Linked DNA regions of Alligator mississippiensis. The protein of the gene in region 2 purifies or fractionates together with the protein of the main gene of each other region. This does not show direct contact. Links are inferred from orthologs where the notes say so. Each region holds a gene or a part of one and is shown on either strand. Other genes may lie near its edges. The genes, in order: NCOA6, PAGR1 and PAXIP1.

Evidence for each region.
Region 1: the proteins of PAGR1 (region 2) and NCOA6 purify together in Homo sapiens (affinity purification with mass spectrometry; 3 studies listed by BioGRID and IntAct, with this or other methods). This does not show direct contact. The link is inferred for Alligator mississippiensis from reciprocal best matches to the Homo sapiens genes PAGR1 and NCOA6.
Region 3: the proteins of PAGR1 (region 2) and PAXIP1 purify together in Homo sapiens (affinity purification with mass spectrometry; 6 studies listed by BioGRID and IntAct, with this or other methods). This does not show direct contact. The link is inferred for Alligator mississippiensis from reciprocal best matches to the Homo sapiens genes PAGR1 and PAXIP1.

Annotation. Positions count from the first base shown.
Region 1 is NC_081832.1:23,726,021-23,733,972, reverse strand, and holds the start of NCOA6 (nuclear receptor coactivator 6), read right to left. Parts: upstream 3,079-7,952; 5' UTR 2,970-3,078; intron 1-2,969. UniProt on the Homo sapiens protein: Nuclear receptor coactivator that directly binds nuclear receptors and stimulates the transcriptional activities in a hormone-dependent fashion. Coactivates expression in an agonist- and AF2-dependent manner.
Region 2 is NC_081830.1:293,223-300,732, reverse strand, and holds PAGR1 (PAXIP1-associated glutamate-rich protein 1), read right to left. Parts: upstream 2,865-7,510; 5' UTR 2,704-2,864; intron 2,696-2,703; exon of another isoform or gene 2,353-2,695; intron 1,942-2,352; 5' UTR 1,936-1,941; coding exon 1,562-1,935; intron 1,399-1,561; coding exon 1,316-1,398; intron 1,227-1,315; coding exon 1,042-1,226; 3' UTR 536-1,041; downstream 1-535. Other genes in the region: HIRIP3 (HIRA-interacting protein 3), read left to right, coding at 1-4, 85-221; SEZ6L2 (seizure 6-like protein 2), read right to left, coding at 4,277-4,306, 4,409-4,511, 4,888-5,005, 5,101-5,139, 5,335-5,526, 5,605-5,796, 5,885-6,079, 6,154-6,350 and 4 more. UniProt on the Homo sapiens protein: Its association with the histone methyltransferase MLL2/MLL3 complex is suggesting a role in epigenetic transcriptional activation. However, in association with PAXIP1/PTIP is proposed to function at least in part independently of the MLL2/MLL3 complex.
Region 3 is NC_081828.1:204,856,442-204,864,515, forward strand, and holds the start of PAXIP1 (PAX-interacting protein 1), read left to right. Parts: upstream 1-5,054; 5' UTR 5,055-5,097; coding exon 5,098-5,190; intron 5,191-5,562; exon of another isoform or gene 5,563-6,484; coding exon of another isoform or gene 6,485-6,499; intron 6,500-8,074.

The DNA.
Region 1 (7,952 bases), on a different chromosome or scaffold from region 2:
CAGCTATCTTCTGTACCACAGCCTCAGGCTTACAATAGTCTAGTATTTTATAAGTGTATCTCCAACTTCCTTTCCCCTCCCCAACCAGCTGTTATTAAACAACCTTATGTTTGCCCACAATATAATGGGACAAGAAACATTTCAGTATTGTGTTGTTGTCCCAAGTTCTATTTATGAACATTGATACCTATTCACAAAGAGCGTTGTCTCCACAATCATAAATTTGCCTTTAAATCACAGAAGTATGAAAGATGACAGCATCTTGTCCACAGCATCTCGGAGATAAATTAATGACCTGTAAAATATCCTCCTACAATCAAGTGACAGTGCTATACAGATGCTTTAACCCTTTGACATCCTCAAGAATAAAGTTATCTGCCACTGCAGACACTGTAAAGCAAAATACCTATGCAACTTAGCTGGATTCAAGCCACTAATTGAAATACATTAGATGTTAAGATAACCACTAATATAGACTTTAAAAAGTCTATAGAAATGAACTGATAACATTTACTGGATTTAAAATATTTAAACACCCATAGCCGAGTTATATGGGGCTGTGGTCATAATTATCTTACAGACCTCATACAAAGTAGTGTTAAGGGTATTCACTGAAATGTATCTCTGCAGGTCCATACTCTCTAGTGTTTAAGCTATTAAAAGTTTAAACAGTTTACAAAGTTACAAAGTTTACAAAGCCTGGATTTCCAAAATTTCAAGGGAGTTTACTAGATGCACAGTATTTCTAGGCTAAAATATTTCATTGCACTTAACATGAAACTGCCTTAACAGCAAGCTCCTTAACAAGCAACTTCTTCATTTAAGATCTAGAGACAGGCTTTTACGGATAGTGTTGACCACAGGAACTCCAGTTTGTGGACATCTATATTAAAAAGAAGAATTGAAACCTAAGGTAGGGAGGGATTTCGTAACTGTATCACCTGGAGAAGTGACAAACATACTTCAGAAAAACAGCAGGTCTACAAACAGGAGCCAGTTAGGGTGAGGGGCCTTTATAATGAGAATTAGGAGCCCAGTACCACCACACAAAATGTCATGATAAAGCCAAAAGCAATCAGGGCTTGTAGTAGAGATAACATCTTTTATTAGACCAACAAGATCTTGCAAAAAAAATTCTTTAAATTGCAAGCTTTTGGGCACAAACACCCTTCATCAGGCATTGGAGAAAAGATTGTAAAAGTTCTCCTGGGTAGAAACAAAAGTTCTTATTTCACAGGATTTCACAGAGGAGTCAATAAATGGAAAATTCCTCTGGGCAGGCAGATACCTGACACATGATAAAGCCAAGATAGTCTAAGCTAAGTTTTAAATGAAGAATTGTGATCCAATGAATAGGGTGGTAAATTAGAAGGCAAAGAGACACCCTCCCCCCCCCCCCCCCACACACACACACAGTTCAAAAGTGACCACTAACTTTGGGTGCGTGACTGGACACATCTATTGTCCAATTTTCTAAAGGTCTTGATGTACACAACTCTGCATGGAGCCTCTAAATTCAGTGAGTGCATGCACAGAATCAAATTAAGCAAAGATGACATTTAATGTTACTCCTCTGCTTTGTCTCTATTTAAATCCCCCCCAAAATGCACCACTTCAATTAGGTTGTATATACATATCAGTGTAACTGAAATGTAAAGACAAAATATTTTATTTTAACCTTGTAGGTATAAGAAAGACTACACTTGCTATAACTGTAAATATAACAGGTGTCAGCATCTGATTAAGTGAATCTGAGGCTCAATGCTTGCGTGCACTCACTCTCTCATACTGCACGTGTGGGCAAGTGAGTAGGCATGAGACAGATATTGACAAGTATTTGCAACCTAATTAAAGTGGTGCACGTTGGGGGGGATTTAAAGAGAAACAAAGCAGAAGACTAAAATTAAATGTCATCTCTGCTTGATTCCCACCAAAATTCTTGTACATATCTTAGCTCGCTCTCAAAGCCTGCCTCTGGAGAGCCAGTGGAGAAGTCCGATACCCAACTCAGCTCAAGCACAACCATCCCAGATGGCTCTACTGTCAACTAAAGGGAACTTCCCCCAGAAGGCTAGAAAGGGTTTGTTACCTGGCTCCTTTCCAAAGGGGCTGTGGAGGATTCAAATATAAGTCACTGACTGAATGTAGGGGCCAGTTTTGCCTGCACTTGTTCAAGGTTGAGAAACAGGGGAAACAAACCCAACAGGGGCCCAGGCAGAATAAAAAGCCCTGCACTAGACAAGCAAGTCTCCATGCTGATACTGCACTGATGTCCCCGCGGCTTTGGGAGGAAGCCAACCTGTCCCCCCACTCACCCCCACCCCCAAAGTAAAACCTCGGCCTTCGTTAGCCCTTTCCGGATCAGGCCGCTGCTTCCCCTCCGCGGGCTCGGGCCTGCCGTGCAGTGCAGGACAGGACAGGACGGGCCGGGGCAGGCGGGGGCCTGGCGCGCGGACCGAGCGGCGGGGTCAGCGCAGCTCAAGGGCAGGGGTCCGGGGCGGGCGTAGCCGGCCCAGCCCGAGCACTGGCGGCCGCAGTGCGCGGCAGCGCTGCATGGGGCCGCGGCCGAGCGGAGCCGAGCCGAGCCGGCCGGGGGAGGAGCCGCGCGGGGGGCGGGCTCGCTGCGACCAGGCCGGCTCCAGACAACAGGAGCCGGCGGCTCGGCCGGACCGTGACAGCGCGGGGCCTGCGGACAACGCGGCTCCGCCCGCGCCGGGGCCCTGCTTTGTGCTGCGGCCGGGGGGGCCAGACCCGCCCCGCCCCGCCCCGCGGGCCCGGCCCGCACCGCCAGGCCGCTCCCTCACACCCGCCGCCCCGCTTCCGCTTCCCTGTCACAGCCGCCCCGGCCCGGCCTGACGGGCTGCACGGAGGGGCCCGGCCCGGCCTCTGACCTCAGGCCCGGCCCGGCCCGGCCCGGCCCGGCTCAGCCCCTCCCCGCCCTGCCCTGCCCTGCCCTGCCCTGCCCTGACCTTGGGGCGCCGCCGCGGGCCCGCTCCGCGCGGCTGCCGCGAGCCGAGGCCCGTGTTGGGCCCCGCTCCGCCGGGCCGCGCCGGGCCGGGGTCGGTTCGGTGCCTGCCCAGCGCCCAGGACGCGCCCGCAGCCGCCGCGGCTCCGCCCTCGGCACCACGTGACGGGCCGGGACACGCCACCGCCGCGCCTGCCGCCCAGCGCGCCCGGGGAGGCCGCTCGCCCGAGCCCCGCCCCGCCCCGCCCGCGGCCCCGGGGACGGGCCTGCCGGCCTGCCGCGCGCGGCGCCCCGACTGTGCGGGCGGCTCCCCGCCACCGGCCTCGTACGGCCCCGCGCACATCCCCGGCCTTCCAGCGTGGAGCTCGAGAACAGCGACCCCGCGCACGCACCCTCCCTTGTCAGGCGGGGAAGCTCAGGGGCTGAAGTCCTCCTGCCCCCCAGCGCACCTGCAGTGAAACCCGAGGCCTTGCGCCCAGGAACCAGGCTCGAGTCATGCCCCACGGCTGCTGAACCTTCGTGGCCCCCAGCACAACGTCTTATTAATCCATGACTGGTGTGTCTCTGTGACACCACAGGCTAAACTGTTCCCCCACCTTTGGACCAGTCGCTCTACACCCCCAATCCAGACCGCTGAAGCTTGCCTAGCTTCTGGTGATTTGTGTTGCTATTTCTATCCAGCTCTGCAATCCAAAGTCACTGCCTGGATAAAGCTGTAGAAGGAAAATGGGGCCTTTGTAGAAAAATAGTAGGTGGCACAGCTTGATACCTACAGCACTTTCAAAGCTAGAGTCTCAATCTGCTTTATAAATATCAGTAAATTATTCCTTTATCACATCTCTGTCTTACAGCAGGGTAACCTGAGGCAGTCAGACATAGTGGAGTGGAGGGGTTTTAACTGTGCACATACGCACAGTTAATTAGTAAGGCTCCAGTCTTACAAGATGTTTTGTGCAGGCAGGTTATTGCACCTGTCTGAAATAGCATGGAAGTCCACCTGAAAATGGCTTAAAAGATGAGCAGCCATAGGATTTTACATGCTGGTCCTATAAAGTTGTTAAAACGAGCAATGCTAAGGTAACACAGGAAATCTGTGGCACTGGGAACAGCAGTTCAGTCTTCTGTTTGCCAGTCCTTTAATCACAAGGCCATCTTTCCGTGGTGGTAGTGAAAATAAATATATTGTAGTTATACATTAAGACTACTGAAATAATCAAAGTTCTAAATATTGTATTTGGAAAAAAACAAAGGCCTCAGCCCTGCAAACATGCACAAGCTTAGGTCTAGTCACATAAATAACCTTCCTAACTTCAAGGATGCTTTATGTGGCCAGTCTTCTGGAACAAAGTTCAGCAGGGTAAATCTTAGATAACAGGTCTAGGAAAGCAGTGAAACTGGCTTTCTGCAACTTACTGCACAAAGTAAATAACAAATAAATCTAATAATTACCAGACAGTCTGATCATTTGTATATAGATGTGAAAAAAATACACCACTTATCAACCAATGTCAACTTTAATTAAATTGCTATATACATATACTGTATGTAAAATCCTTTTTAGGGAAGGCCTTTGTACATAGATAGCTAGAGCCTAAGTCCCAACTCCAATTACAAAACTGCTGCCATGTGATCCCAACAGTTTAGACTAGGAAATTTTAGAAGGAATGATTTCACATAGGGTATGTATGGAGATTATTCGACTATTAGACAACCAAAACTCAAAGATATATTTATAGACTAAATCAACACCCTTTCTTTAGGTATGTTCTTCATGGAACTGCAGTCTTGGTGCCTTTCATTGGAGTTTGTATATATTCAGTTATGCCTTTAGTTCCTGTTTCTTTCTTCCTCGTCCTCTAGGATGATGATCATTTTAAGTGCAAGCCTTTGCCTTTAAGCCTGTTGAAGAATGAAGAAAGCCTTCTCTTCACTGCTACTTTCCATGCACAGTCCCTCTGACATCTCAGCAGAAGTGAGGTAGAGTGTCACTTACACACTGAGACAAGGAGGAGAGCTTTAGTCCTCTTTAATTTTTGAACCAGTGAGCACTTGTTTGCGTGAAATCTTTTTTGTAAGAAATGCAGTTCCCTGTGCTCTAGTTTATTTCATTTCCTACCTGTCCAGATAGTTTAAATATTAATTGAATTAAATACTGTGAAAATCCGGCAAAACTGAAATTTAAACAACATGTATTAGGGTCTGAGGATAATTCTTCTACCACACCTATTATTATGCCTTCTTCCATGCTGCCCCTACCACTTCCCAATCAATGCACTTACATCCCTTTCTCTTCACATTCTAACCCCTAAAAGCCTGACTTACGCCACCTAGCCCATAAAGTCATCCCACCTTGGAAGGCTGTCCCCCACAACAGTGGTTTAGAAATTAAATGCCTTATATCAGAATAACTCTAAAAATACTGCCTTCTCTGTGTTTTCTACTGTGTTCTGTCATCCTTGTGTCTTAGTTGAAATCTTTTTGAAGCTCAACATTTGTTTTGATCAGCACAAAGGCTTATAAGTATACCTTATATTTCAGCTGGAGATCTTAACCAAAGGAATGATACTTAGCAGGACCTTACTAGATACATTTGCTTTAATCATGTGGGTGCTTTAACTTCATGAGAGGGTCTGAAAGCCTTCCATATATAGACAAGTCAGCTCTGTGTCTGATGGTAGGTGGAATGATAAGCTCCAATTTGTGACATGTTGAGAAGGGAGGTACTCACCAGTACTTACAACTGAAGGGACATCAGAGTTGAAAAGGCTGATACAATTAGGAAATCTCTAATACTGGAGGACTTTTAGAGGGCATCTCCAGTTGGCAAATCAAGTATTATCTCTGGCTGCCAGTATCTGTCTGATGACCTGGCGGGTAGCAGGGAGAAGGGTTGAGATCAATATTTGCAGCCAGTGAACCAAATGTGGTTCAGCAGCACCAGCTGTCATATAGAGCTGGAATCCGCAGCATTGTAGGAGACTAAAAGACATATTCTAGTATAGTGTAATGGAGGGAAGAAATATTGTGAAGAGCAGAAAAGGGACCTTCAGTCACTTCACGCATGACAACCCTCTGTTCCTGGCCTAAATGTGCCCAGACAGGCCACCTCTACAGTGGCTTGGGTATTGTGGACAGATGCACACGTAGCACTAATGCTTGTGAGACCGCAGTGAAAGGCTCCTCAAAATAGTTCAACAAGGTTGGTGTGGACAAATAGAACCGCTTGTCCTGGACCAGCTATATTTAACATGGTAAAGTACAAACAGCTCGTTTATGTCTGTAAACCTATCAAATGAGGATTACCTCAGCAAAAGCAGCAAGTGGATGTTGCTGTTCTTTCCTCCAATAGCAGAATTTCAGTGTTCCAATTTGAGTCAAATGGATGCTAAATACAAAGAAATGCAAAAATGGCCTAAAGCTCCTTCACTGAGCAGTTTGGATCAATGCTTTCAGTGAAGTTTCTTCTGCTTCACCCAAGGTGTACATGAGATCACATTCAGACTCAACACTTTTCAGAACATCTCCAGTAATATGTAGCTTGTGTGGGAAGGGGAAATCAGGAATAGTCCTAGAAAAGGTTTTTTCACCTATTTATAAGAAAAGAATAAACATGTTTTTGAAAAAAATTAAGAACACTCTCTTCAGTAAGGTATTTTCTGCTGATCAACTTTTTGTACAATGAAAACAAGTGTACAACAGATATAAAAGTTATGAGAGGCTGAGAAATGCACATACATTAACCTTTCCAACAAACTTGTTTGGTTTAATTGAGCAACAAAATGAGAATTTAAATTTCATCTGAACTGGGGGTGTTTGGGTCGGAGGCTTCCTTGAAGGCCCATTTTATAAAGTGTGCTTAAGTATAAAATGTGCTTAAATATAAAGTCTTTAAGACAGGAATTGTCTCATACAGCCTGTACCTACAGCTCAGGTACAACTAGGTTCTGGTCTTGTTTTGGACTTCTAGAAACTACTGTAATATGAATAATGTTTAACAAGACAATGGAGTCTGTCAAAAAAAAAAATACTGTAAAGAATGAAACTGGTACCTCACAAGCTGGTAATAGAAAAAAGAAAACTGTATTTCAGTCTTTTTCACTTTATGTGAAAAAATGCACAGCTACAATTGATTTCAAGACAGTCACAGTTATGATTACAATGCATTTTCTTATGTCTGTATTTCCAAATAAAAATGATGCTATATAGCAAATGTGGTACTTTTATGCTCATACACATGACCAATTTTAGATTTTCCAAAATTAAATATTATATAAGGATTCCATTATCAGAACTTAATTTCTCCCTGCCCCTCTTAAAATGAACTAAGTGATTCCTAATCTAGAATCTCTACATGTTCACTTTATCATATGTGGGGAAGGAAATGGGGAAGACATATTTTGTTGAGATTTTAATGATCTTTCCTTATAATCCTCTCATACTTTTTTCTAGGATAAAAGAAGGAATGTGGTAAGGAAGGAGAGAACAAGAGTTTGGATACCAGAATGGTAGGTAAGGTTTAAATTACACATATAGTGATTGTCCTTCTACAGTTTTCTTTTAGCTGGGGGAATGTGATCCCTTCTTAGGGGAGGTGTATGCTGTGCTGAGGGATTGTCGCTAGTTCAATATTTTCTTCAAGTTAACTTGAAGAACTACTGCCCTCAATAAGCTATTGCCTTCAGGAACTTTTTCCCTCCAAAGTAGGTTCACCCTTGAGAGGATCATCTCCTTTTCACAAGCTGTGAACACTGGATGGCTCTTCTTTGGCCATCTTATTGTTGGAGAACTATTGAAACCATCTCATCTGTTCCATATACAGACTTACTTTCTTTTCTGAAGGACCATTAAATATGGCTGACCCTTCTGAAAATTGTCCTTCCTTGCCAGGATTCTCTTTTTTTTTCTAGCTTATAACTTTCAAAAGCACTTGGCTGAAGTATGGAAGAACTTTCTTATAAAGCAAACATTTACCCATTACAACACCATC
Region 2 (7,510 bases):
CACGGTGCGTACAGCGACTGAGCAGGGGGTGGGGGCTGGATGCCTGGGTTCCCCGGTGCTCTGACCTCTGCCCTCCCTGCGCAGGCCGCCCACGCCGCCGCAATGTATGGAGCTTGTACGCGGCGCCCAGCACCCCGCCAGCGCCCAGCCCCCCCCGCACCCGCCCCGACTGGTCCCAGCTCCGCGGCATCATCAGCAGCGACGAGGACGACAGCGAGTGATGGGGCGGGGTTTGGCCAGGCCCCACCCCTTCCCCTTGTTGGTTCTATCCTCTCTCCACCCCCTTTTTGTACATTTCCAAATAAAGCATGTTTTGTTACTGCCGCTGCCCCAATTTCTCCTTCCTTTTAGGGAGCTGCACCTTTAAGAGCTGCTTCTAACCAAATAGGCTTTTATTCTAGAATCATCCCTTTAAGAACCTGGGAAAAATCCCTGTAAGGAGTTTAAAGCGGCAGGCATGCCTCCAGCTGGAGAAGGGGATGGGCAAATTTAAGAGAAAGGGGATTAGAATCATCATTCTCCTGCTTTTTAGTCATTGGCTCTTAAAGAGATTTTATTTAAGTGGCCCAGAAACATAAAAATATTTGTTTTAATTTGTAAAGGGGAGGGCGAGTGTTTGGGGAGAGGAAATGTAATGTCTTCTTCCAAAATGGGGAGGTGCCTGGATTAAATAACCTCCTGGCTGCATTAGACACCCCCCCCCAAGCTGTGAGTAGGGATGAGCATCCAGGCAATGGGAGGGGGCAGCAGACACTTTATTGGGGCTTCCCTGGGTGGTCAGGCTCATAGCCAGGCTCTTAGCCAGGATGGGAGTGGCCCCTGTACCATAATCAAGCAACTTCAACCCCCGCCCCAACCTCTCCTCGGGCTCCCATGAGCTGGGCCAGCTGTCCGTCACTCCAGGAGCTGGTCCCACTTCATCCCCCCAGCCGTTGGTCCCTGCTACCATTGGCTGGGCCAGGTGTTCATTGCTCCTCTCACCTGTCACTTTATCACACCCGGCCTTTGAGGTTCCTGCAGCGGCAGGGCCCTGCAAAGGGGTCAGTACTTGCGCTGGCGCAGGAAGAGTCCAGACGGGCGCTTGGGCATGGGCTCATCACCGCTGTCCAGCTGGAAGAGGTCGCGCCCGGTGCGCAGGATCTGCTCCTCCAGCTGCTTGTGGCGCTGCATGTCTGACAGCACCTTATCCAGCCGCGCCTCCCGCTTCTGGCTGCGTGACCCTGCGCCTGCGGCAAGTGCATGTGTCAGCCCTAGGGTCGCCTGCACACCCCTGCCCCTGCCAGGCCTGGCTGCCAGGGTCCCCCCATGGGCTTACCTGGTGCTCTGCGACGGTCGATGAGGGTGCTCTTGGGTGAGGCAGGCTCGTCGTCAAAGTCAAACTCAGTCGGGATGTGGGGCCTGGGGGCAGAGAGGTTGTCACTGGAGGGGTGGCAGGAATGGGGGAACCCCCAGAGCCCCATGGGACCCCTCAGCCCTGCCCTTCAGCCCCCCAAAGCCCCTTGGCCTCCAGCGGTGCCCCTCGCTCCCGACCCGCATCCCTTCACTCAGGCCAAGTGCTCACTTCTCCTCCTCCTCTTCCTCACTGGCCGGGGGCCCATCTGAGCGCTCGTCCTCCTCGCTGTCGGGCTCGGGCGTGGGGGCGCGGCGGGGCAGGCTCTCGGCCTGCAGCTCCAGGCTGCCCTGCGCCGCGATGAGCTCGTACAGGCGCCGGATCTCAGTAGGTGGTGGCATCCAGGCCTCGGGGGCCTCCACCTCCTCGTCACTGCAGCCCACGCACCAGTCTTCCTCCCCGCCTGCCGCCGTGTCTTCCTCCTGCCCCTGCGGCTCCTCCTCTGCCCCGGCCGGCACCTCCTCGGGGCCTGCAGGATCCTCCACGGCCAGCAGCTGCATCCCCGAGGTCACTTCCCCTTCTTCCTCCGTCACCACGGACTCCATGGCTGCCTGCAGGGGGAGGGGGGCTTCAGGTCAACGGGGCAGCCATCTTGGAACACGATGGCAGGTTGCGCCACCTTGAGGCAGCCCGGGCAGTGACCCAAAAGAGGTCACGCCGACACGGCGGCCACCTTGGGGACCTAGACCAGGCTGGGCGGTCAGCAAAGATGAGCCAGGCCACACGGCAGCCATGTCACGCGGGCACGCAAGGGCCAGCGGTGACCCCGGCTGTCATGCCAAAGCAGTGGCTGTCTTGGGGAGATAGGCCAGGCTGGGCACTGCCCGCAGCAGGTCATGCCATGGCAGCAGCCATCTTGCAGGGCTAGGCCAGGTCTGGCATTGAGCGCAGTGGGTCACGCCAACATGGCGGCTGTCCTGGAGATGTGCACAAGCCGCCAGCTGGGCCCCAGCCTGACTGACCCCGGGGGCAGCTCCAGGTCCGTGCTCAGGCTGCAGCAGGCGAAGGCAGAGCAGAAGGAATCGGAATCGCAATCAGGCCTAGGCCCCAGGCTGACTGGTCGCCATTTTGACGCCTTTTGCCCCCTCCAGCCGTCCCGGCGCCTCTGCGCATGCGTTCCCGCTCGGATCACTAGGCTGCGCATGCGCTCGCCACTAGAGCGCGGCCGTGGCTCATCAGTGCGCATGCGCGACAAGGCGAGCCCTGAAGCCCCTCTGGCACCGGCGGCCCCGAGGCGCATGCGCAGAAGCCTTCGTCCCGTTTCCAGAGCGCGTGCGCTCTGCTTTGCCGCAACAGCTCTTTGAAGAACGTACGCGCCGGCGCCTCGCTTCCACTGCGCAGCCACAGCCCTTGCATATCACCTCCCTCCTGGGATGGAGCTACGCATGCGCACTTTGTCAATTTCCTCCCCCCTTCCCGCTCCATGAACCAGCACGCATACGCATAACCATGTCCGCAGCTTTTCACTGCGCATGCGCCCGACGGCAGGCCCCCCCCGTTCGTTGTGCTGGAGGGGCGGGGCTACAAGGCGAAGGCAAGGGGCATGGTAAATGGGGGCGGAGCTTGGTGCGTGCATAAAGGGGTGGGGCTTAGGCGTGGCCACCCCAACTGGGCAGGGAGCAACGAGGGTGGGGCCTCGCAGGTCTAAAGCGGATGGAGCTAAGAGGCGGGGTCTAGGGGGGAGGGGCAAAGGGGGCGGGGCCTAACGGTACGTTGTCGAAGGCGGCGCCTAGTGGGGAGGGTCTAAGGGGCAGGCCCTAGCAGGGGCGTGGCCTACTGGGGGAAGGGGCAAAGGGGCGGAGCCCAGAGTGGTGCTGGAGTGTTGGGCGGGGCTTCCCTTCATGACCCGGAGGGGCGGTGCCTCCTTAGGCTCCGCCCTCTCCCCCAGGCAGAGGCGGAGCCGTGGGCTTGTACAAAGGCGATTCCCTCGTTTATTGTTATTGCTCCAACGGGCCGGAAGTGGGGCTAGGACACCCCCCCGGGGAGGCGGGGCCTGTGGGACACCTCTCCCCCCCTTTCCCCCTTCTGGGGGTATCCGTCCGAAGAATGGCACAGGAATATTTGCCCTCCTACACTCCATTTCTTAAAGGTAATGGCACTCTTAAAGGAATAGCTGTGATCTTAAAGGGATGAGGGCTCCTCCCTTCACCACAGTTCCCCTTACCAAGCCCTTAAAGGCCTGCTTTAGTATCCCCCAGATTACTTAGAGCCATCCCTCCCCCATCTGTTGCTTTAAATCTTAAAGGGATGTTCCAAACTAAAAGCCCCCCCTTGCACTCAAGCCAAGCAATGGACCTTAAAGGGATGCTCTGGGGAGTAAATCCCCTCCCATTTTTATTTAAAATTCCTTAAAGGGATTCCCTTCCCAAAAGCCTATGCTCTTCGAGGACTCGGAATAAACATCCTCCTGCATGATTTTTATAGCCTGGAAGCATTTTTTTTAACCCCCCTTAAAGGGGCATGCTCTAACACAATTTCCCTCCTGCCCTTGTTTTAGGCCCTTAAAGGGGACAGTGAACTAACTGCTGGGGGGCCCCGTTCCTCAACCTGCCACAAATAAATTAATAAATACAGAAATAAATAGGACGCTTGATATAAATTAACCGGGCGGTGGGGAGGAGTGAGGACCTTGGTCATGACGGTAATGAAGCTGGGGGGGGAACGGGGTGCGTGAGCCTTGGCACATGGAATCCTGGGTATTTACAGGGTGGGGCTGGGGGGGCCGCAAGGCATGCTGGGATGGCTCGGGAGCCAGGTGGCGGACCCCCCCCTTGTGGAAATGGGGCCATGGCATCCTGGGTCCAGTCCTGGCCCAGCCCCGGCCTGTGTTTTGGGGGAGGGGAGCAGGAGGGGCCTCATGGCCCCCCCCACCCCCACCCGGCGCCTTCAGATGGAGACTTCGTACTCCCTGGTGTCCTGTGGGGCAGGAAAACCCCCATCAGTCGGGAGCCCCAGCCCCCCACCCCCTCTCGGGGGGCTGGGGGAGCCCAGGCATCCAGGGGTGGGGGGCACACTCACGCCAGCCTCGTAGAGCGGGTTGTTGAAGTCAGACTCGACGGTGATGGGGCTGTAGCTGTGCGAGCTGGAAAACGAGAACCCAAACAGCGACTTGCCCTGGAACCTGGGGGGGGCCATGAGATGGGTGGGGGAGGGGAGGGGAGGGGCGGGGCTTACCCCACCCCCCTTCCAGCCCCTCGCCCATTCCCCACCCTGCTGCAGGCAGGGATGCCGTCCCTTTAAGAAGGAACAGCCTGGGTTCTCCATTTAACCACCTTCAAGGACAAGACAGCATCCCTTTAAGAAACACCCCCTCACCAGGAAATCCCCCCTTTAATGCTCACCTCCCTACGCACCTCCCTTTAAGACCCAGCTCATAGAGGTGGAATCTGGGTACCCCTTTAAGAACCCCCCAAGCCCTGCCCCCAAGCCCTAGGTCCCACCCAGTGGCCTGAAAGCCCCGCCCCCTGCACCATGCCCCAGCCCCGCCCAGCCTGTACCTGGTGTAGTAGACGTAGATGGCGCCAAGGAGCAGCAGGACGAGGGCCACGGGCAGGAAGACAGCGAGTGCCAGGCCCCCGCCCCCCATGTGGCGGGAGGGGTCTGTCGTCTGGGTGACTGCCAATCAGAGACCGGGAGCCTCTTAGGCTGCTCCTGGACCCCCTGCAGCTCCCCGCCCCCTGCCCTGCCCTGCCCCGCCCCGCCCCGCTCACCTTCCAGCTTGCGCTCATCCAGCAGCTCCTCGTAGGCCACTGAGGGAGAGACAGGGGTGAAGGGCACTGGGGGGTGCAGGTTGGGAGTGGGGGGCAGCACCAGGGGCTGTGGAGATCCTGGGGGGGCTGGGGGTTCTGGCCGCTGGTTTGGGCTTGTGGGGTCTGGGGGGGACGGACGCTGTCCTTGCAGTGAGGGGGAAGGCCAGGCAGTGGGGGAGGGGTGGGGGGTCATACCCTTGCAGCGCGGCGGGGGCCCGGTCCAGGCACTGGGCCGCCCGGGCAGGCAGGTGATGGTGACGTGTCCGAGCAGCTCGTAGCCCTCGTAGCAGAAGAAGCGCAGCGACTCGCCCGCCTGGTAGTGGTGCTTATAGAGCGTCTGGTAGCCGTGCGCCGGCACACCCGGGTTGAGGCAGGGCTCGTACTGCACTGCGGGGGGCGGGCGCTCAGCACCGGGTCCCCGCCCCCTGTCCCGTGACCGCCCCCCACCCCACCCCTTGCACTCACAGACACACTTGGGGACACGGTCGCTCCACTTGGGCGCGCCGGTGTCGCGCGCGTGGCAGGTCAGCGTGGCAGCGCCCTCCAGCGCGTACCCATCGTTGCAGCGGAACCGCACCTGCGCGCCCAGCGGGAAGCGCCCGTCCGAGGCACTGCGCCTCCCGTGTGCCACCTCGCCGGGGTCCACGCAGTTCACCACTGCGCCGGGGGGGCACGGGTCAGGGCAGGGCAGGGCAGGGCCCCCCCTGCCTGCACCCCCCACACCATCCCCCCCAACCCGGCTTACCGCGGCGGCAGGCGGGGGGGGGGCCGCTCCAGGCCAGGTCCCACTGGCAGGTGAGCACGTCGGCGCCCACCAGAGCGTAGCCGGGCTGGCACTGGAAGGTGAGCACGGTGCCGCGGATCAGGGCGCCATGCGAGGCCGAGCGCCAGCCTCCTGGCACGGCCGGCAGCTCGGGGCATGTGTCGTTGCGGTCCACCTCTGCGCAGGAGGGAGATGGGTCAAGGGCCCGCGGCACGCCAGGCGCCCCCGGCCCCCCGCCCCCCGAGCTGTACCGGCGTAGCGCAGCAGGAAACCCTGGCTGGGGCTCGGCGGGGGCCCGGTGGGGTCGGCCTGCAGCTGCACAGTGGCCGCGGCCCCGGACGACGTGAGCTGGAAGCGGGGCCGGGAGCCCAGGAACTGTCCCAGCACCCGCCCCGCCAGCCCAGCCCCGTCCAGCACCGTCAGCGTGTCCCGCCCCCGCAGGTTCAGGCTGCCGGGAGGGGTGGGGGGGAAACACAAAGGGAGAGAAGAAACAGACACTGGTGAGCGAGGGGGGCTAGACCCTGTGGCCCCCCACACCCAGGGTCGGATCCCAGCCAGAAACTGGTGGTAGTGGTGGGATCCCAAGGGAGGGGCTGGGGAACAAGGCAGTCAGGGGCCATCACTTGGGGGGAGGGGGGGGCCCAGTTTTTTAGGGTGGTCCCCAAAGAACGGGGGGGGGCGGGATGGGAAAGGGGCAAGGGGGATCCTGTTTTCTTGGTGGAATTCCAGAAAATAGTGGGGGGGGGGTCAGATGCCCCCTTGCAGGGGAGCGGGGGGGGGGGGGGAGCAAGGGAGGGGTCCCTGGCAGGGTTGTGGCACCTACATCTCCATGTCCAGCAGCACCCGCTTCTCCTCCTGCACGTGGATGGTCCAGACACAGTCCTGGCCCGGCCCGTAACTCTGCGGCCAGTCGGGGGAGAGCACCACGCCGGCCGGCTCCGACAGCTCCCCCCCGCACAGCGCTGGCGGCACACGGCCCGTGAGGGCAGCGCCGCCAGGGGGCAGCGGGTTGGGAGGGAGGGGCAGCGTGGGGGCTGGGCACAAGGAGCACGGGGCCGTACCTTTGCAAAGGGGCTCGGAGCCGTTCCAGCGAGGCGGCGCCCCCTGGCACTGGATGGTGCGGGGGCCGGGTGCCAGGGCGTAGCCGGGGGCGCAGGCGAAGGTGACGAGGGCGCCGGGCCCGAAGCTGGGGTCGGTGCTGCTGAAGTTGCCGTGGGGCAGGAAGGGCTCGTAGCACCGGTCGGCGGAGAAGGCTGCGGGGTGGCGGGGGTCAGCGGCACGGTGGTGCCCCAGGCCCTGCTCCGCACGGGGGTTGCGGGGACTCACCCTCGTAGCGCAGCGCCAGCAGCGGGGGGGCGCGGGCGCCATCGGACACCAGGCTGAGCTGGAGGTGGGGGCCGTCGCTCTGCAGCCCGCGCTCGGGCACGTCGTCCACGTCCGAGTCGAAGAGCACAGGGGCCTGGGCCGCCACGCCGCCGCGCACCACCAGCCTGCGGTGGGCAGAGGTCAGAGGTCAGGTGCCCCACCCCGCCTCCCCCACCCGGCACCCGCTCACCGGTCGGCGTCCTCGTCCAGCGCCAGGCGCTCGAAGTGCAGGTGCAGACGCTG
Region 3 (8,074 bases), on a different chromosome or scaffold from region 2:
TTCTGCAATTATTGTTCATTTAATTCAACAGTTTAATGAAATTTTACAATAAAGTAATAATACTTAGAACTTTTATCCAACGCACCTAATGAAAACAGTAGCAACCAGATTCTGCTTCCCATAATTTATGCTAAGCAGTACTTTAGTTGCACATAGTTTCCTTCAGTGAAACTACTCGGAGTGAAGTGATTTTGAAGTAATAATATGCCAGGGTACCAAAAACTAGCTTATAATAATTAACTGTCATAATACCGCTGTGAATTGGAAATTACTATCCACATATTATAGATAAGGAACCTGAGGTCCCAATTCAGTCATTTTTACATGTTTTAATTTTAAACATACTCATCATGTTTCATTGAAGCCAAAAGGAGTTGAGCAAGATTTCAGTGCTTTGCTGAATCGAGGCCTGCAGGTCACGCAGTACAGTGTCTGCTGCCTGTTAGAATCAAACTGGACATCGCACGTTTGATCCTAACAACTTGCAATTCCAGTAAGTGGTGAGCCATCAAAGTAAAAAGTGGTGGAGTACTATTAAAAAAACTCTGTAGAGCTTTGCTATTTTGTTGTATTTCCTTTTTTATTACTGTAAACTTTAAGTAAACGTAAAATCTGGCTGTATAGCAAAAACATGGTGGGCAGCGTGAGCCAAAGTGGACTCAATTTGAATAGCCAGCACAGAAAAAAAGAGCCAGGATGCGTAAATTGTTGAGATTCTAATAGAAATCCAAATCTGTAAAGCAAGACGCTAGTGAGTGGTGGGAAATGCATGTAGCACAATATCTTTGGCTTTTGATTTTGGGGTTTTGCTGGGGCACCTGCATCAGTTTTACATTAAACAGTCATTGGATAAAAAACAGAAATACTCCTAGGAACAGAAATTAAAATCTAAGACTTTCCCTTCCTAGGTAAGTATCTTAACTACTCAGACCTTTTTTATGCTGGGGAGAGGCCCCATGACACTTTCATTTCTTGTTAAACATTTAGACATTTCATTTCTGTTAAAGCTGCCCAGTGGGCCAGCTTTAACAGGTTGGGAGGTGAATCCTGGGAGATGAGAAAAATGGGTTTGAAACCTGGTGGGATGAGGAAAGCCTAGAATCCAGATCTCTCACTTCCTAGGCCAGTGCTTCCCAACCTTTCCCTTAGCATGACCCCATGTAAACACTGGAAAATTTTCACAACCCCAAAATGATGCAGACAAGATCAACGTGCCCTCTCACCGTGGATGGCATGGCTGGAGTGGAGCCCATGGGGGTGGGGGGAAAGGATGTGGGCTGCCTGCTGCAGGTTCAGGGCTCCCTGCCCTGATGCCCTCCCCTCAGGGGCCTCCATGGCCCAGCTGGTGGAACCCGGCACAGGAAGGCAGAGGGTGGGGAGGCCAGTGACACTGCCGGGAGCCCCACACCAGTTGCACTGCCACGGCAAGGTGCCCCTGCATTCCCAGCAGCAGCAGTGTGGAGTTGTGCTGGGTTGGCAGGGGGTGCCTCTCCATGGCAGCTTATCCAGTGTGGGGCTCCTGGTAGTGGCACTGAGCCTCCCTGCCCTGCTTTGCCCTCCTGTGTTGGATCTTACCTGCTGGGCCGTGGAGACCCTGGGAGAGGGCAGCATGGTGGGGAGCCTTGAGCCTGCAGCAGGAAGCCTGCTGTGCAGGCCGGGTCAGACCCCAGGCCCTTTTCGTCGCTCTGCACGCGGGCTGTGGCTGGCAGCCCGGGCAGGCCGGGTCGGAGAGGGCGGGCGCCAAGTTAGAATTAGGCACAGACACGTAACGGTTGATTTTAAGATTGTTTACTTACACCGAGACGGTCGCGGTGCAGGCTGAGAACTTGCTTGAGTTGCGGTTACAACAGAAAACACGAACACACGTGGAGTTTGCTAGGCTCCACGCAGACAAAACACGAACAATCACGTGGAGGTTGCTAGGCTCCACGCAGACAAACTCCGGATGTCCAGGACAAGCGCGCATTAAACTCGTCGATACATCTTATAGTAGGCTCCGTTCGAAGACGGGAAGAGGTGGGCGGTGGATCAGGCCGCCAAACTCCTCTGGGCAACACACAGAGTTTCTGTTACCCTGCCGCACACACCCAGAGTCCCCACGAGATGGATGCGGAGTCCTCTTCGGTTTGGGTGGAAACTGCTCAAGCCTCTTATAAGGCTAGCAGGCCAATCGCTAGCTGCCACGTGTGAATAATTTAGCACTAGCCAATTGCGGGGCACAAATTTGCATACAACGAGCGGGAACTCTTTGCACCATGCATTTCTGTGTTGCAAAGAAAATGCACCCTGCAAAGACCGCTGCAAAGTGGCGGGAACTCTCTTCCTTGCACGCGGGTTCTCTGCGCAGCAGAACTCCACCGTGCAATGAAGCTGTAAACCCACGGGGATAATTCGAGTGCCGAAGCACACACAAAAAAAATCAGACCTTTGGGTCATGACACCTGCATCTGCCCCCACCCCATGCAAAAATCTGGGGGGCACATGCTCCTCCGGGAGCATGTGCAATAGCTGGGAGCCAGCCCCCCTGCTGCCCCCTGGACGAGCCGCCCATGACTCCATCCTGCTCTCCCAGTCAGGCCCCATATTCCAACCCCAGCCCTGGGTCCCATGCACCTGCCCAGCTGGGCAGTTTCCCCAGCCCCAGCTTCATCCTGCTCCCTCCCTTCCACCCCGTGGGGGACTCAATCTGCCCTCCCCTCCCATAGACTTACTTGGAAGGAGCTGCTCTCCACATTGCCTGGCTGCCCATGCATCTGTATGCATGCACATGCACGTGGCACCACTGCCTGATCGCTCTCCTCCGGCTCTCCCAGCCCCAAGCAGCCCTGGGCAGGCTGTACCTCTGCCAGCCTGCAAAGCGAGCCTGCCATTTCCCATTTCTTTCTGTGATTTTCATCATAATCAGTCAACAGTTTTGAGTGTCTTTGTGGCACTATTTTTTATCATTGTAACCTCAAATGGGTTGCAAGCCCAAGGTTGGGAACCGCAGTCCTAGGCAAATGCTGTCATCAGCAGGCAGTTACACAAAAGGTCATGAGTTGCATGTCTTTCTTTTCTCTAGCACCCCTTTGTGCCAGTTCTTTAAAAAGAAAGCAGTAAGTCCAACTCAGTTCGTTGAAAGAACAATTATGGGGTCCAGCCCTCAGGCGAGGATTTTCAGGATGCTGATCATGAGTATTGGGATTGTATCCAAATAGCAAAAGCCATAGCTGTCCATGCACTGATAGGTTCTTTGTTTTTGGCAGCTGAAGGCATTTGCATTGCATCTCTCAGCAAACCATCGTTTGTCCTCAATAATTATGGATCTACCAAATTCAGGGTGGCTGCCCGTCAATTTCCCAGGCAGAATATGGGGTCCAGAAGCTATTTTGTGGGCCACTCCGCACCTCTGCTTGGCTGAGGGCCTCACCCCTCCCTACTGATTGGCTGCAAGGGCCATCCATCATGCAGCCCAGCCCCTCATCACCAACTGGAGGAACAGGGTAGCAGCCCTCACAGCCATCTTGCCTGTAGCCCTTCAAGTGGCCAGCCCCCTACTGCCGCCTCCTCCCCAGGCTGCAGCACCCTGGGGACTGCTGGCTCCCTGTGGGCAGCCAGCATTTTATTTTAAGTAATTCTTTTTCTTCCCCATGGATTTCATGGGCAAAGCCAGAATTTGCAGAATCTGTGAAATCACGACTTCGACAGGTCCCCATTCATAACGCTTGCTCAGTGGCAGCTTATTACAACGCTGGTATTCACAGCTCGGACTTGGGTGCCTCGGCTCTGCGGACGCATCTCTCTGCTTGGCGTTTTCTACTGGCCAGCACCCTGCAACGCGCCACCTCGCTGCCCATACCAGGCACCGTAACCCCAGGCACCTGACTGGGGGCAAGACCCTTTGCAGCTAGATACGCAGGCATCTACATCTTCGGTTGGATCTGGCTCTCACCCCCGTGCTTTTACAATGTAGTTCCTCATACGAAGATCAGCGTTGGTATGATCTATTCTGGCCTGCCAGGAGCCGAGAGGCCCGTGGAGTAACACGGTTAAGGCACACTAATTCAGCAGCTAACGCCAGGGCTGACACGGGACCCCTTGGGGAGAGGGGTGCGGTCGGGGGTCCACTTCCCCCTGGTTTGCAGGGGACCGTCGGAAAGTGGGCCCAAGCTCCTGCCCACGTGCGTGGGATCCTGCCTGCAGAGTCACTGCCGCCGCTGGACCCTGCCGGCAACCGAGCCATCGCCAACCCCCGTCCTCGACGGACGTGGAACGTGCTCATCATCTCGGGAGCCTGGAGGGGTATCAGCAGCCATGCTCCTGGAGTGGCGTTTCTCAACCCGTGTGTCACCACCCGAAAGTGGGCCGCAAGAACCTAGGACGACATCGTGAACAAACTTAAAGGAGAGTCCATTTTTTTTAGGAGAAAAAAATGTGGCTTTTCTCTCTGAGCCCCAGCCTGCAAGGGGCTGCTGGGGGTCCCACACGCCCACCCCCTGCCCCACACACTGCGGCGGGGCGTGGGTCGGCAGTGCCGGGCGCTGGATGGGGACCGGCTATTGACATTGACTTTTTGTCGTTGTTTTTTTGTTTCCAAATTAGCCAAAAAAAGCAACCCGCACGTGCCGCGCCGGGGCCAGGGCCGGGGCCGCGGGAGGGTCCCGAACAACAAAGGTGGGGACGCGGCTCCGGCACGTGGCCGCGCGCTCCGCAAGGAGGCGCCTGAGATTGCGCGGGAAGGGGCGGGGCTGGGGGGCGAGGCCCGACCGACGCCCCGCCCCCTCCCCATGGGCGGGCCCAGAGCTGCCGCCGCCGAGCGGGGAGAGTCCATCTGGGCCACGGGGCGGGGGGGGGGTTGAGGGCTCAGCCGCCTCCCGGGCTGAGGAGGGACGGCGGAGCCCGGCGAGTGCAGCCGGGGGGTAGGGCCGAGGAGGAGGCCGGGGCTGCGGGGGTTGGACGCGTGGCGGCTGGTCCTGGCGGCAGCTCCCTCCCCCCCGCGGCCCGGCGGTGAATGGTTCGCTCCGCAGCGCGCGCCGGGCTCCCGCGGTCTGGGTGGGGGCGGGGCTGCGCGGGGAGGGGGAGGGGCCGGCAACGCAGCCCCGGGGCCGGGCCGGGGCCATGGCGGCGACGGCGGGCGAGGAGGAACTCCGTGTGCCCGAGGACATGTTCAAAGACGTCAAGTTCTTCGCGGTGGGAGACATCGACCCCCAGGTACCACCCCCCCACCCCGTCCAGGGGCCGCGTGGGCTCTTCCACCCCTCCCCCCCGCCCCAGTGACGGGCCCCTCCCCCACCCCTCTGGGCGGTGACGTCACGGCGCGGCCCGCCCCGCCCTGCCCCGCCCGCCCGGCCGTGCTGGGGGGCTGGAGCGGTTGTGTCCCCCCAGGGACCTGTCCCTCCCGGGAGCCGCAGTGCCCCGGCGCGCACCGGGCCCGGCCAGGAGCTGGGCCCAGCCAGGGCGGCCCCTTTCTGTCCCCGCGCCGCTCTCCTCCTTGGCGGCCAGAGTGAAGCCGGGCCTCGGGCTGGGGGTACCTGAGGCGGGCGGGCGGGCGGGCGGGACGTGTGGTGCCAGGCCCGGGCCGGCAGGAGGGTCTGCGAGCGCTTGTTGCTCGCTCCGGGGTTTCGGCCGCGTTCAACTTTCTTCCCGCTGTTTTCTTTCGCAGGTGTCCGGGGTTTCGCGGGCTCTTGAAGTTCGTGAGATTTCAGGCTGGTTTGTGACCACGAGAACAACAAATGCGTGGTCTGCCTGGCGGACAGGGTTTTTTTGGGTGAATCGGATCTCTTTTATGAGACCAACTTCAGTCGATACACCCTGTTAACCTTGTCTGCCTCTGTCCTTAGACCCGCATGGCTACTGCCTGCACCCTTGGGGGAGTTTTCCAGCTGTACCCCTATATAATTAACGCCAGGATAACGCTGCCCCGTGTAGACCCTGCCTTCGCAATGAGCGGGGGTTTCGTTTTTGTTTTCCTCTCCGCAGCTCGTGCTTCCAAACGTTTGGAAGCGCTGCGAGTCGTGTTGTAATAGGTTTTCTTGTACCGTGATGGGACGTGCAGATAGGAGTTAGGCAGGGGGTGACAGTCGTACTCGAAATTCACTCCCTGCCTTATATCAGTATTACATCTCAGAAAACTGCAGGGCGATGGCACAAGCGGCCCAGGGAAGTTTGAGCATCTCCTTCATTGGAGGTTTTCAGGAAGAGGCTGGATAAGTACTTGACGGGGATGGGTCGAGAATAGTGTCCCGTGGAGTTAGTTGTGCATTTAGCGGTCTCTGTTTAGCCACTTAGCGGGGCTTGTTGTTCCTAGTGGACCTAGGTCCGCCATCAGCATATGAGACAGGACTGCCATCATGCAGAGGAGTGGACTAGGCATCTGTGAAGGGACCTTTCAACTCTGTGGTCCTATGAGCTTTCCTGTGAAAGCAAGCCCTTAAACTTGAAGTTCAGAATTCATCAGAATTGCTATTTCCGTGTTGCAGCATGTGGAAATATTTCAGGACTTTTAATGCATAATTTCATTGTAAGTCATAGCTTATTATAAGTCTGTTTCTCTATTCCACCTACATATGTAAGCCTACGTATCCTACATGTAACATACCTACATGTTCCACTTATGGGCAAAAGCTGTCTAAGGCAGGAGCTGGCAACCTGTGTCCCCTGGGCCCGCAGGGTGATTGGGTCCAGCCTGTGAAGTTTTGATCTGGCCTGTGGTGGCACCAGGGGGTCTGTGGTGAATGGCTTGCCCGGGTGCATCCCCATTTTTTGCCCTGGGCCGTACATCCCCTCTAGTCTTCCCTGCCCCCTTGTCTTGCTCTATGCAACAGGCAGTGCTGCTGAATTTGCCCCTCCCCGTTGCTGTTAGGGACAGGAATCAGTGGCACTTGGCAGAGGTGGTGGCTCACGGTGGAGGTAGGAGCAGGTGTGAGGCTATTGCCAAGGGGGATCTATGGTGGCGATTGACAGGTTGTGACAGTGGCTTGGTTGCAAGCAGTGGCCTGGCACTCAACCCTGCCCTGATCAAGTGGAATTTGGATGGCCAGTTTTTCTTACATTCAACCCCTTTGCAGATTTAGCAATTTGTATAATAATAACCAATCTTTTTTCCTTTTTTGGCTTGTGCATGATTTTCTGTTCTGTTTTTATTTGAGTACCTGCCATGGTTGATTAAGGATTAAGGTTGATTAAGGATTTTGAAGTAGGGAAAGTTTTGCAATGCTATGAAATGTGGGAGACCTCTAGCAAAACTTTGAATCAGTGGCTCAGTGGGGAGGATTTAATTTTGGCTAGTTGGGTATTGCGAGTACTCTCTTCAGAGCAGATCCAGAGCGAGGCCTTATTTTACCTCTTCACTTTTTGCTGTGTTTGGGGAAATTGCTGATTTTAAGTGTGGTAATTTGTGAGTTTTCTGTTTACAGCAGTTTGTAGAATGTTCTTCTGGATCTATTTCATGGTGTCTAAAAAGTTAATCTTAATATAATCGTATTCTGGAGAGAATTTGATTGAAGAGTGGTAATTGTTAAACCTGTGGTGAAAGTCAGTAAGTGAGTCTAGGTATACTACCGCAGTGCCCAACCTTCTGGCCCTGCAGGCTGGGTGAGTGGTGCAGGACTCATTCATGTGGGGTCGGTCTGGCTGCCCGCTGCCCTGATCTAGCTGTGGGCCAGATCCTATGCAGGGTTGAGCCGGCCACATGCTGCCCTGATCTAGCTGCCTGCCCCTGTCTCTCAGTCTGGCCACATGCCTGACTTGGCACCTGCTGGCCTGCACAGTAGATCCAGCTGCCCGCAGGGCTGCTAATGTGGCAGTGAGAGAGTAGCAATTAATGTTGTCACTGTTCCCTTTCCCCAAATTTCTGGACTCTTGAGGAGCCCTGTGGGCCAGATGATACCATTCCAGGGATTGGGGTTGAGCACCCCTGCCTAGTACAAGAAAACCCCCCTTTGACCACACACTCTTGGTTGTCACCTACCATCCCACATTTGAACCTATAAGAACGATCATCAAACTACTATGAGGGCACCCTACAAACTGCTGTACTTGAAAAGAACCAGACCTTGAGAAAAATATTCCCAGTTCCCCTGGCTCTTCGTCTTCA